Saccharomyces cerevisiae S288C: one gene and its partner. Each later gene encodes a partner of the first gene's protein in a complex. Each region holds a gene or a part of one and is shown in the gene's direction. Other genes may lie near its edges. The genes, in order: SEC24 and SEC23.

What was found.
Region 2: the proteins of SEC24 (region 1) and SEC23 are in contact, whole or in part, in a crystal structure (PDB 1M2V), measured with the Saccharomyces cerevisiae proteins. Residues at the interface, in NP_012157.3 of Saccharomyces cerevisiae: His355 (codon at 2,770), Gln372 (codon at 2,821), Ile373 (codon at 2,824), Asn374 (codon at 2,827), Met375 (codon at 2,830), Met376 (codon at 2,833), Asp377 (codon at 2,836), Ile378 (codon at 2,839), Ala379 (codon at 2,842), Asp380 (codon at 2,845), Glu382 (codon at 2,851), Glu383 (codon at 2,854), Phe385 (codon at 2,860), Leu386 (codon at 2,863), Pro387 (codon at 2,866), Arg388 (codon at 2,869), Pro389 (codon at 2,872), Asn390 (codon at 2,875), Lys409 (codon at 2,932), Gln412 (codon at 2,941), Ile413 (codon at 2,944); in NP_015507.1 of Saccharomyces cerevisiae: Val165 (codon at 2,170), Thr175 (codon at 2,200), Ile176 (codon at 2,203), Asp177 (codon at 2,206), Arg178 (codon at 2,209), Cys179 (codon at 2,212), Asn180 (codon at 2,215), Val181 (codon at 2,218), Phe182 (codon at 2,221), Arg183 (codon at 2,224), Arg186 (codon at 2,233), Tyr188 (codon at 2,239), Met196 (codon at 2,263), Gln240 (codon at 2,395), Gln249 (codon at 2,422), Trp250 (codon at 2,425).

What each region holds. Positions count from the first base shown.
Region 1 is NC_001141.2:156,741-161,872, reverse strand, and holds SEC24 (COPII subunit SEC24), read left to right. Parts: upstream 1-1,707; coding exon 1,708-4,488; downstream 4,489-5,132. Other genes in the region: YIL108W (putative metalloendopeptidase), read right to left, coding at 1-986; HPM1 (protein-histidine N-methyltransferase), read right to left, coding at 4,695-5,132. UniProt on the Saccharomyces cerevisiae protein: Component of the coat protein complex II (COPII) which promotes the formation of transport vesicles from the endoplasmic reticulum (ER).
Region 2 is NC_001148.4:896,724-901,344, reverse strand, and holds SEC23 (GTPase-activating protein SEC23), read left to right. Parts: upstream 1-1,677; coding exon 1,678-3,984; downstream 3,985-4,621. Other genes in the region: DPM1 (dolichyl-phosphate beta-D-mannosyltransferase), read right to left, coding at 1-590; mRNA splicing protein SMX3, read right to left, coding at 891-1,151; E1 ubiquitin-activating protein AOS1, read right to left, coding at 4,341-4,621. UniProt on the Saccharomyces cerevisiae protein: Component of the coat protein complex II (COPII) which promotes the formation of transport vesicles from the endoplasmic reticulum (ER).

The sequences.
Region 1 (5,132 bases):
TGATGAGGACAACCCAGTAAGTGACCAATCTCATGCATAAATGCTCCCAACGTGATAGTCAAACATTCCCAGTAAGTACCACACTCATTACAGTCGTTGGCGACTTCACTGGTGGAGGATCTTGTCTCATCAGTAAAATAAGGCACCAATTGCTCGAGACAAGTAGGCCATGAGTAAAGCCCGTGCGACCCAAAAATGGCGAGCTTAATGCTGTCGTCACCCCCACCCAATGCGGCGTGGCCTCTAATCAACTTACCATCCCAGTGGGTGTCTAGAAACATACAAGCTGCCTGAACAGGCTTTTCGTTATTGGTGAAGGGTCCGCCGTAACTTTTAAGGGCGTCCATGGCTATCCCAAAAAGGGCGCCGGTGTTTTTCCCTTTGGAATTCTGTTGAGCTATGTCAGGGTCCTGGATTTCCTTCACCGTCTTTTCCGAACGAACTACATGTATTTTGATGGTGTTTCTCATAGCAGGCCGTTCGAACAGCGTGTCCCAGGTAAATTCTTCAACAAAGGGAAACGTCCTATTTCCCATACTGTTTCTCAGCATTTGCTCGTTCGTGTACGCTTGCATGAGTCTGGCCCCAAGTCTTAGCTTCTTGATTGCCAATTCGAGGCCATTCCCGCCCTCTCTGTCCTTCTGTTCTCGAGGAGAGTCAAACTGTAAAGGCGAATCCTTGGCCAAGATCAGACACAGGTGTACGGGAGGGTTCTGCGTCAGTGGTGTGTAGTAACATACGATTGTCCTAGCGGTGTTAGTGTCTGTAACAAAGGTCAACTTGTTCTCACCAGGAGTCAATATCACAGTGGCCTTGAAGAACTGATTATGTATGGGGTAAGTAATTGGAGGCAATTGTGGATGCTGCACTTGAACGGTCTTCGCACCATTTTGCTTATTGCATTTTCCGTGCACGATAAGACAAGGAGAAACGATTTGCTCGTTCTCTCTCAGGTTGAATAGATCAATATCCTTCGAGCCTACCATTTATTTCTTTCTCTTCGAACTACTACTTCCTTTTTTTTTTTTTACTGTATACGATCTAATAATAAGAAGAAAGAAGAACTCCTTTTAAATTTCCTTTTTCTCTCTATTTTCCGGCGACCGCTACTCTTAAACGTCCAAACCAAAAAAAGATCGAGAGAATTGACTGCGCCAAGACACATGAACTTCTGAAACCTAAGAAAGCCTGACTGTTCCTAAGGTGATCTATATTTATATACAACATCATGCTCTTAAAAGAATAGGTTACGTAATTAATTGATGGAAAATTTCAGCAAATTTCCGCCTAGAATGCCGGGTAACAAAAAAGTAATTAGTGCTATGTTTGGGTGATAGAATCGTGTCACAAATATACATAGCACTGACAAGTGTGCATTTTGCACTAACCACTGCTATAAGTTTTTCAGCTTAATGCAGTCTATTCAGGCACTATCTGGGCTTGAAAAACAGTCTTGGACATGGCCACTGGAGCAGATTTGTTAACGCTTAGCTGTTCTCTTTTTTTTTTTCTTGTTTTTTCCATTTACGGCAGAAGAAAATGAAAACTGGAAGAACGAAAACGAAGAAAAACAAAACTATGTAAGGAGGATGGTACATCAGGAAACAGGCCAAAAATAGCACTACAAAAAGGTTTTATCTGGCACTCAGGTCCATTTTTGCCGCATTGAAACAGACATAAATATATAAGTCTGAGACCATCTGCAAAATGTCTCATCACAAGAAACGTGTTTACCCACAAGCTCAGCTCCAGTATGGACAAAATGCCACCCCTCTACAACAGCCAGCACAATTCATGCCTCCGCAGGATCCTGCTGCAGCTGGAATGAGCTATGGTCAGATGGGAATGCCGCCACAGGGTGCAGTCCCTTCCATGGGGCAGCAACAATTCCTAACCCCTGCTCAAGAACAGTTACACCAGCAAATTGATCAGGCCACCACTTCCATGAACGATATGCATCTGCACAACGTACCGCTAGTCGATCCTAACGCTTATATGCAGCCACAGGTTCCCGTGCAAATGGGCACACCTTTGCAGCAACAGCAACAACCAATGGCAGCGCCTGCGTATGGCCAACCTAGCGCCGCAATGGGCCAAAACATGAGGCCCATGAACCAGTTGTATCCAATCGATCTGTTGACGGAATTGCCTCCTCCAATTACCGATCTGACCTTGCCTCCCCCACCGTTGGTTATTCCTCCAGAAAGGATGTTAGTTCCTTCTGAATTGTCCAATGCGTCTCCAGATTATATCAGGTCGACCTTGAACGCCGTTCCTAAGAACAGCTCCCTGCTGAAGAAGTCTAAACTTCCATTTGGGCTTGTTATCAGACCATACCAACACTTGTACGACGATATCGACCCGCCTCCATTGAATGAAGATGGACTTATTGTCCGTTGTCGTCGTTGTCGTTCTTACATGAACCCTTTTGTCACTTTTATCGAGCAAGGCAGAAGATGGAGATGTAACTTTTGTCGTCTGGCCAATGACGTTCCTATGCAAATGGACCAGAGCGATCCAAACGACCCAAAGAGTAGATACGACAGAAATGAAATCAAATGTGCTGTGATGGAATATATGGCCCCAAAGGAATATACTCTAAGACAACCACCTCCAGCCACTTACTGTTTCCTGATCGATGTCTCCCAGTCCTCTATCAAGAGTGGGTTACTGGCCACTACCATCAACACCCTTTTGCAAAATCTTGATTCCATTCCAAACCATGATGAAAGAACCAGAATTTCCATCTTATGTGTAGACAACGCCATTCACTACTTTAAAATCCCATTGGATTCTGAAAACAATGAAGAGTCCGCCGATCAAATCAACATGATGGATATTGCCGACCTGGAAGAGCCTTTCTTGCCCAGACCAAACTCTATGGTTGTGTCCTTAAAGGCCTGCAGACAAAACATTGAAACTTTATTGACCAAGATTCCTCAAATCTTCCAATCTAATTTAATCACAAATTTCGCACTGGGCCCCGCTTTGAAATCCGCTTATCATTTAATTGGTGGCGTTGGTGGTAAAATAATTGTTGTGTCAGGTACTTTGCCCAACTTAGGCATAGGAAAATTACAAAGGAGAAATGAAAGTGGTGTTGTTAATACATCCAAGGAAACTGCACAACTACTTTCCTGTCAAGACTCATTTTATAAGAATTTCACCATCGATTGTTCTAAAGTACAGATTACTGTCGATTTATTTTTGGCTTCTGAAGATTATATGGACGTTGCATCACTATCGAATTTGAGTCGTTTCACTGCTGGTCAAACGCATTTCTATCCTGGTTTTTCAGGCAAGAACCCAAATGATATTGTCAAATTTTCCACTGAGTTTGCCAAGCACATTTCCATGGATTTCTGTATGGAAACCGTAATGAGAGCCCGTGGTTCCACAGGTTTGAGAATGAGTAGATTCTATGGTCACTTCTTCAATAGATCATCTGATTTATGTGCATTTTCCACCATGCCAAGAGATCAATCATACTTATTCGAAGTTAACGTTGATGAATCCATTATGGCTGACTATTGTTATGTTCAAGTAGCGGTACTTTTATCTCTGAATAATAGTCAACGTAGAATAAGAATTATAACATTGGCTATGCCAACCACGGAATCGTTGGCAGAAGTCTACGCATCTGCTGACCAATTAGCTATAGCGTCGTTTTACAACTCGAAGGCGGTGGAGAAAGCATTGAATTCCAGTTTGGACGATGCAAGAGTATTGATCAACAAATCCGTGCAAGATATCTTAGCCACGTACAAGAAGGAAATAGTGGTGTCCAACACTGCAGGGGGGGCCCCATTGAGGTTATGTGCCAATTTGAGAATGTTCCCATTGTTAATGCATTCTTTAACTAAGCATATGGCATTTAGATCTGGTATTGTCCCAAGTGACCATCGCGCCTCGGCCTTGAACAACTTAGAATCATTACCTTTGAAATATCTAATCAAAAACATCTACCCTGATGTTTATTCGCTGCATGATATGGCTGATGAGGCTGGGTTACCAGTGCAAACTGAAGATGGTGAAGCTACTGGCACAATTGTTTTGCCTCAACCAATCAATGCTACCTCTTCGTTGTTTGAAAGATACGGTCTATACTTGATAGATAATGGTAACGAATTGTTTTTGTGGATGGGTGGTGACGCTGTACCAGCGCTAGTATTCGATGTGTTTGGAACACAGGATATCTTTGACATTCCAATTGGCAAACAGGAAATACCTGTTGTTGAAAATTCTGAATTCAATCAAAGAGTAAGAAACATTATCAACCAATTGAGAAACCATGATGATGTCATCACTTACCAATCATTGTATATTGTTAGGGGTGCCTCTTTGAGCGAGCCCGTTAACCATGCATCTGCTAGGGAAGTTGCAACGCTAAGACTATGGGCTTCTAGCACCTTAGTGGAGGATAAGATTTTGAATAACGAAAGTTACAGAGAATTCTTACAAATCATGAAAGCCAGAATTAGCAAATAAGGCTAAAAGGGAATCAATGATAAAAAGAAACTGTATATTTTTGTTGGTTGCATTTTTGCTTTCCAATTATATTATGTATATTGAACAGTTACTTTAATTTTTACTTCTATATTTCTTTTCTATTTTCATCCATGTTATAAATAAAAGATACAGTAAAAGACTTATGGATTAACTTAAGGAAATGAAGTTGAAACAAATTATACTAACTATCGGATAGCTTTATTTGTTTCAATGCATATAATCGACCTTTTTAAGCCAGAGTTAACTTTAAACCTTTCAGAATGAATTGGTAGATGTTCGGAGTTTATTTTGTCGTCCAAATAAGCTTCAAATTCAGTGATGCTACCACCGACTCCAAAATAAATATCCTTTGCGGCTACGTAAGTTTTGACATCGGTTTGTGGTAAATTGTGTATGTCAAGTATTGTTTCCGCTATAACGGGCAAATTGTCAGGTTGATAAATTGTTTCTGAGGATAATGAAAGGACTTTTTGGCTACCTGAGAGTACTTCATGGATCAAATTACTAAATTTACGTCCCCACGATCCTGATATAAGAGTGACGCTGATATTCCTGCTTTGTACATCGTCGTAAAAGGCAGCTAACAGCTTTGAGGTAAGAAGCAGTTCCTCATTATTTATTGG
Region 2 (4,621 bases), on another chromosome or scaffold:
TCTCTTGGAAGAGGAAGCTTGGCGAGAAGCTCGAGGGCAATCTTGAAACCTTGCGAGTTGATGTCCCTAGGGTTGCAGTTTTCGAGGTACTTCTTTTGTAGACCGAAGAACCCGCTCATGGGGTCGGAGGCGATGGTCAAAGGTCTGGCCATCATTCTAGCAGTGGAGGAAATGACGCGTCTGTACATAGGCCAGTCCTTGTCAATGCCGACACCTGGGGCATATCTGGTGCCCAGAGTAAAGGCGTGATCGTGCAAAGACTCGAACAACTTGGGCACGGTCTCTGGAGGGTGTTGTAGGTCTGCGTCCATGCATACCAGGTACTGACCCTTGGCCTCGTAGAAACCCTTAAGCACGGCGGAGGATAGACCACGTTCATTTGTCCTGACGATGATGCGGACGTTGTAGCCTTGGTGAGCTAGGGCGTCCACCTCCTCAACGGAGCCATCCTGTGAGTTGTCATCGACAAAGATCAACTCGGTCTTCTTGGCCATTTCAGGGCTCATGCCGGCAAACAATCTGGTTGTTAAGGGTTTGATGTTCAGCTTTTCATGGTAAGCGGGAACGATAACAGAGTATTCGATGCTCATTGTGGGTGCGTGTATGTTTGTGTGTAATTGAAGCGATAGCGTTATTACAATAGCGGTCTATATGAGTTAGGAACACGTAAGAATACTGAAAATTTTTCAAATACTGGAAATCCTTTATTTTTCCACGCTATTTGTCATGCGAGGGAAATCCAGAGGCAGGAATAAGGAAGAAAAATAGAACAATATAAAGCAAGAAAATAAAAAAAAAATACGCGATGCGAGTGCTATAGAATGATATTGTATTACAGTAGAGGGCGTATGTAAATATACTGGTATGTAAGGGAGATGAGCACAGTCGTCTTAGTTCGGCAGCTCCCTGATGTACAGCACGTTATTGCAGCGGATGAATATCTCGCCCAGGGTGCCGTGCGAGACACCCGCAACAAACTCTTCTGCTTCGTTCAGCTGCAGGTTAAAGTAGTTGTCCGTGGACACGAGCGTACCTCTATATTCGGTGCTGTTGAACTTAAGCTTGACGCCTACACGATGGTTGACCAGGCCTTTGAGGAACGGCTTCGGGTTCACCGGCTGCATCGCGCTGATATCACTGCTCTCGCTCATTGTCTTGTTGTGTTGTGACGTAGTGTGTGGTGTGGTATAGTACGCGGTGCTGTGTGTGCTGTGCTGTTTTTGCGTTGCTCATAGAACCGTTGTTTCTTGCTCTTACCATCTCATGTTCATATATGTTGGGGAAAAGAGGTGGAACAAGAAAAGTTACCCGGACGGCAGAGCGGTTGTTTTGCCTGCTTTGCCATAATACAGGATGGGATCACACACCCCCCAAGCCATGCTACAACTTGGAAGAGTGCAATTCAAGTTGGTTGTCCTCAGTAGTTTGAGAGATTGCGCTAATTTTGTTTTATCACCGTTATTTACTGTCAGTTGAGATTTGTCGCTTGCGACGACTAGCCCGCCGCCTCTCGTTTGTTACAAAGGAGGAAAGTTCTAGCAAGAATAAAAGAAAAACACGTTTGAAAAAAGAAAAAAAGATACTTGTTGTGATCTTTCCACGTTCAGCAAGACACACAATTAACTGAAGCCAGTGTTTATCTGTCTGTCGCCTGCCTCCCCTTCCTCTTTTCTAGCCATGGACTTCGAGACTAATGAAGACATCAACGGGGTCCGTTTCACCTGGAACGTGTTTCCCTCTACTAGAAGCGACGCTAACAGCAACGTCGTCCCTGTGGGCTGTTTGTACACACCTTTGAAGGAGTATGACGAATTGAACGTTGCCCCATACAATCCAGTTGTGTGTTCCGGTCCACACTGTAAGTCGATTCTAAATCCTTACTGTGTGATTGATCCGCGCAATTCGTCCTGGAGTTGTCCCATCTGTAACTCCAGGAACCATTTACCTCCACAGTACACCAACTTGTCACAGGAGAATATGCCGCTAGAGTTACAGTCCACCACCATTGAGTACATCACCAATAAGCCCGTTACCGTTCCTCCCATTTTCTTCTTTGTTGTGGATTTGACTTCGGAAACCGAGAACCTCGATTCGCTAAAGGAGTCTATCATCACTTCTTTGTCTCTATTACCTCCCAACGCGCTGATTGGGTTGATCACTTACGGAAACGTTGTTCAATTGCACGATCTGTCCAGCGAAACTATTGACAGGTGCAACGTGTTCAGAGGAGACAGGGAGTACCAGCTCGAAGCGTTGACGGAAATGTTGACCGGCCAAAAGCCTACCGGCCCCGGCGGTGCTGCATCTCATCTACCGAACGCCATGAACAAAGTTACGCCCTTCTCTTTGAATAGGTTCTTCCTGCCCTTGGAACAGGTCGAGTTCAAACTGAATCAATTACTGGAAAATCTGTCTCCAGACCAATGGTCTGTTCCAGCGGGTCATAGGCCATTAAGGGCCACAGGTTCCGCTTTGAACATTGCATCTTTGCTTTTACAGGGCTGCTATAAGAACATCCCAGCAAGAATCATTCTTTTCGCCTCCGGTCCAGGCACCGTGGCCCCAGGTTTGATTGTTAACTCAGAGTTAAAAGATCCCTTAAGATCCCACCACGACATCGATTCTGATCACGCGCAACATTACAAGAAGGCCTGTAAGTTTTACAACCAGATTGCACAAAGAGTTGCCGCCAATGGACACACTGTTGATATTTTTGCCGGTTGTTACGATCAAATCGGTATGTCTGAAATGAAACAGTTGACCGACTCTACTGGAGGTGTGTTGTTGCTAACCGATGCCTTCTCTACCGCGATTTTTAAGCAATCATACTTGAGATTGTTTGCCAAGGATGAAGAAGGGTATTTGAAGATGGCTTTCAATGGTAATATGGCAGTCAAGACAAGTAAAGACTTGAAGGTACAAGGTTTGATTGGGCATGCTTCTGCTGTAAAGAAGACAGACGCTAACAACATCAGTGAATCTGAAATCGGTATAGGTGCAACGTCCACCTGGAAGATGGCTTCCTTATCGCCTTATCACTCGTATGCGATTTTCTTTGAAATTGCAAACACTGCGGCTAATTCTAACCCAATGATGTCTGCCCCTGGTTCAGCAGATAGACCTCATCTAGCATATACTCAATTCATCACTACTTATCAACACTCCTCTGGTACCAACCGTATCAGAGTCACCACGGTCGCAAACCAGCTTTTGCCCTTCGGTACTCCTGCCATTGCAGCTTCTTTCGATCAAGAAGCTGCTGCCGTTTTGATGGCTCGTATTGCTGTTCACAAGGCTGAAACCGATGATGGTGCAGATGTTATTAGATGGTTAGACAGAACTTTGATTAAGCTATGTCAAAAGTACGCCGACTATAATAAAGATGATCCTCAATCTTTCAGGTTGGCTCCAAATTTCTCACTGTATCCTCAATTTACCTATTATTTAAGAAGATCCCAATTCTTAAGTGTCTTTAACAATTCTCCGGATGAAACTGCATTTTATAGACATATTTTCACAAGAGAGGATACGACTAATTCTTTAATCATGATTCAACCAACTCTAACTTCTTTCTCAATGGAGGACGATCCACAACCGGTATTATTAGACTCTATCTCCGTCAAACCCAATACCATTCTATTATTAGATACATTTTTCTTCATCTTAATATACCACGGTGAGCAAATCGCTCAATGGAGAAAAGCCGGTTACCAAGACGATCCACAGTACGCAGATTTCAAAGCTCTTCTTGAAGAGCCAAAATTAGAAGCCGCAGAATTGTTAGTAGATAGGTTCCCGCTACCAAGATTCATTGATACTGAAGCCGGTGGTTCTCAAGCCAGATTCTTGTTATCTAAATTGAATCCTTCCGATAACTATCAAGACATGGCGCGCGGAGGATCTACAATTGTCTTAACAGATGATGTTTCCTTACAAAATTTCATGACTCACTTACAACAAGTAGCCGTCTCTGGTCAGGCATAGGAGCAACGGCTTTCTTTTGTTTTATTTGATCGTTATTAGGCTTTTTGTATAATATAAGGCCTGTTCAGTCCATTGCGCGTGCAAGAATTTTCCTTTGGACCTGAACGAAAAGAGTAGAGGATTTTATATAATATATTCTCCGTCTTTTTTGTACTGCGTGGCCTTTACTACGAATATCTGTATCTAATTTCTTTTCTAACTTTTTTATTACCATTACTACTACTACTATTATTATTATTATTATTATTATTATTATTATTATTATTGTGTATGACTATAATGCTTTACTGCCTCCAATTATGCTTTTTTTATTATTTTTTTTGGCTGAAACTACAGTATAGTAGGTATGTATATATCTAAAACTCAAAAAGTGGCATGTCTAATGTAATACCATCAAAAACAATGAAATTATTTAATGGAGATAGCCTTTTACCTAGAATGTTAATGACATCCTGCGCTACAGCACCCCCTATAATGGCCGCGACAGGAGCAAACTCGATACCTTTCTGTTTGATAAACTGTTGTATGTAATCGTCCTTTACCACTGTTGCTGGTACACCCAGATTTTCACACCATACGGCCGCATCTCTTTTCATTTGTTCAAAGCTTATGGCCTTGCCCTTTTGGTTGAGACCAT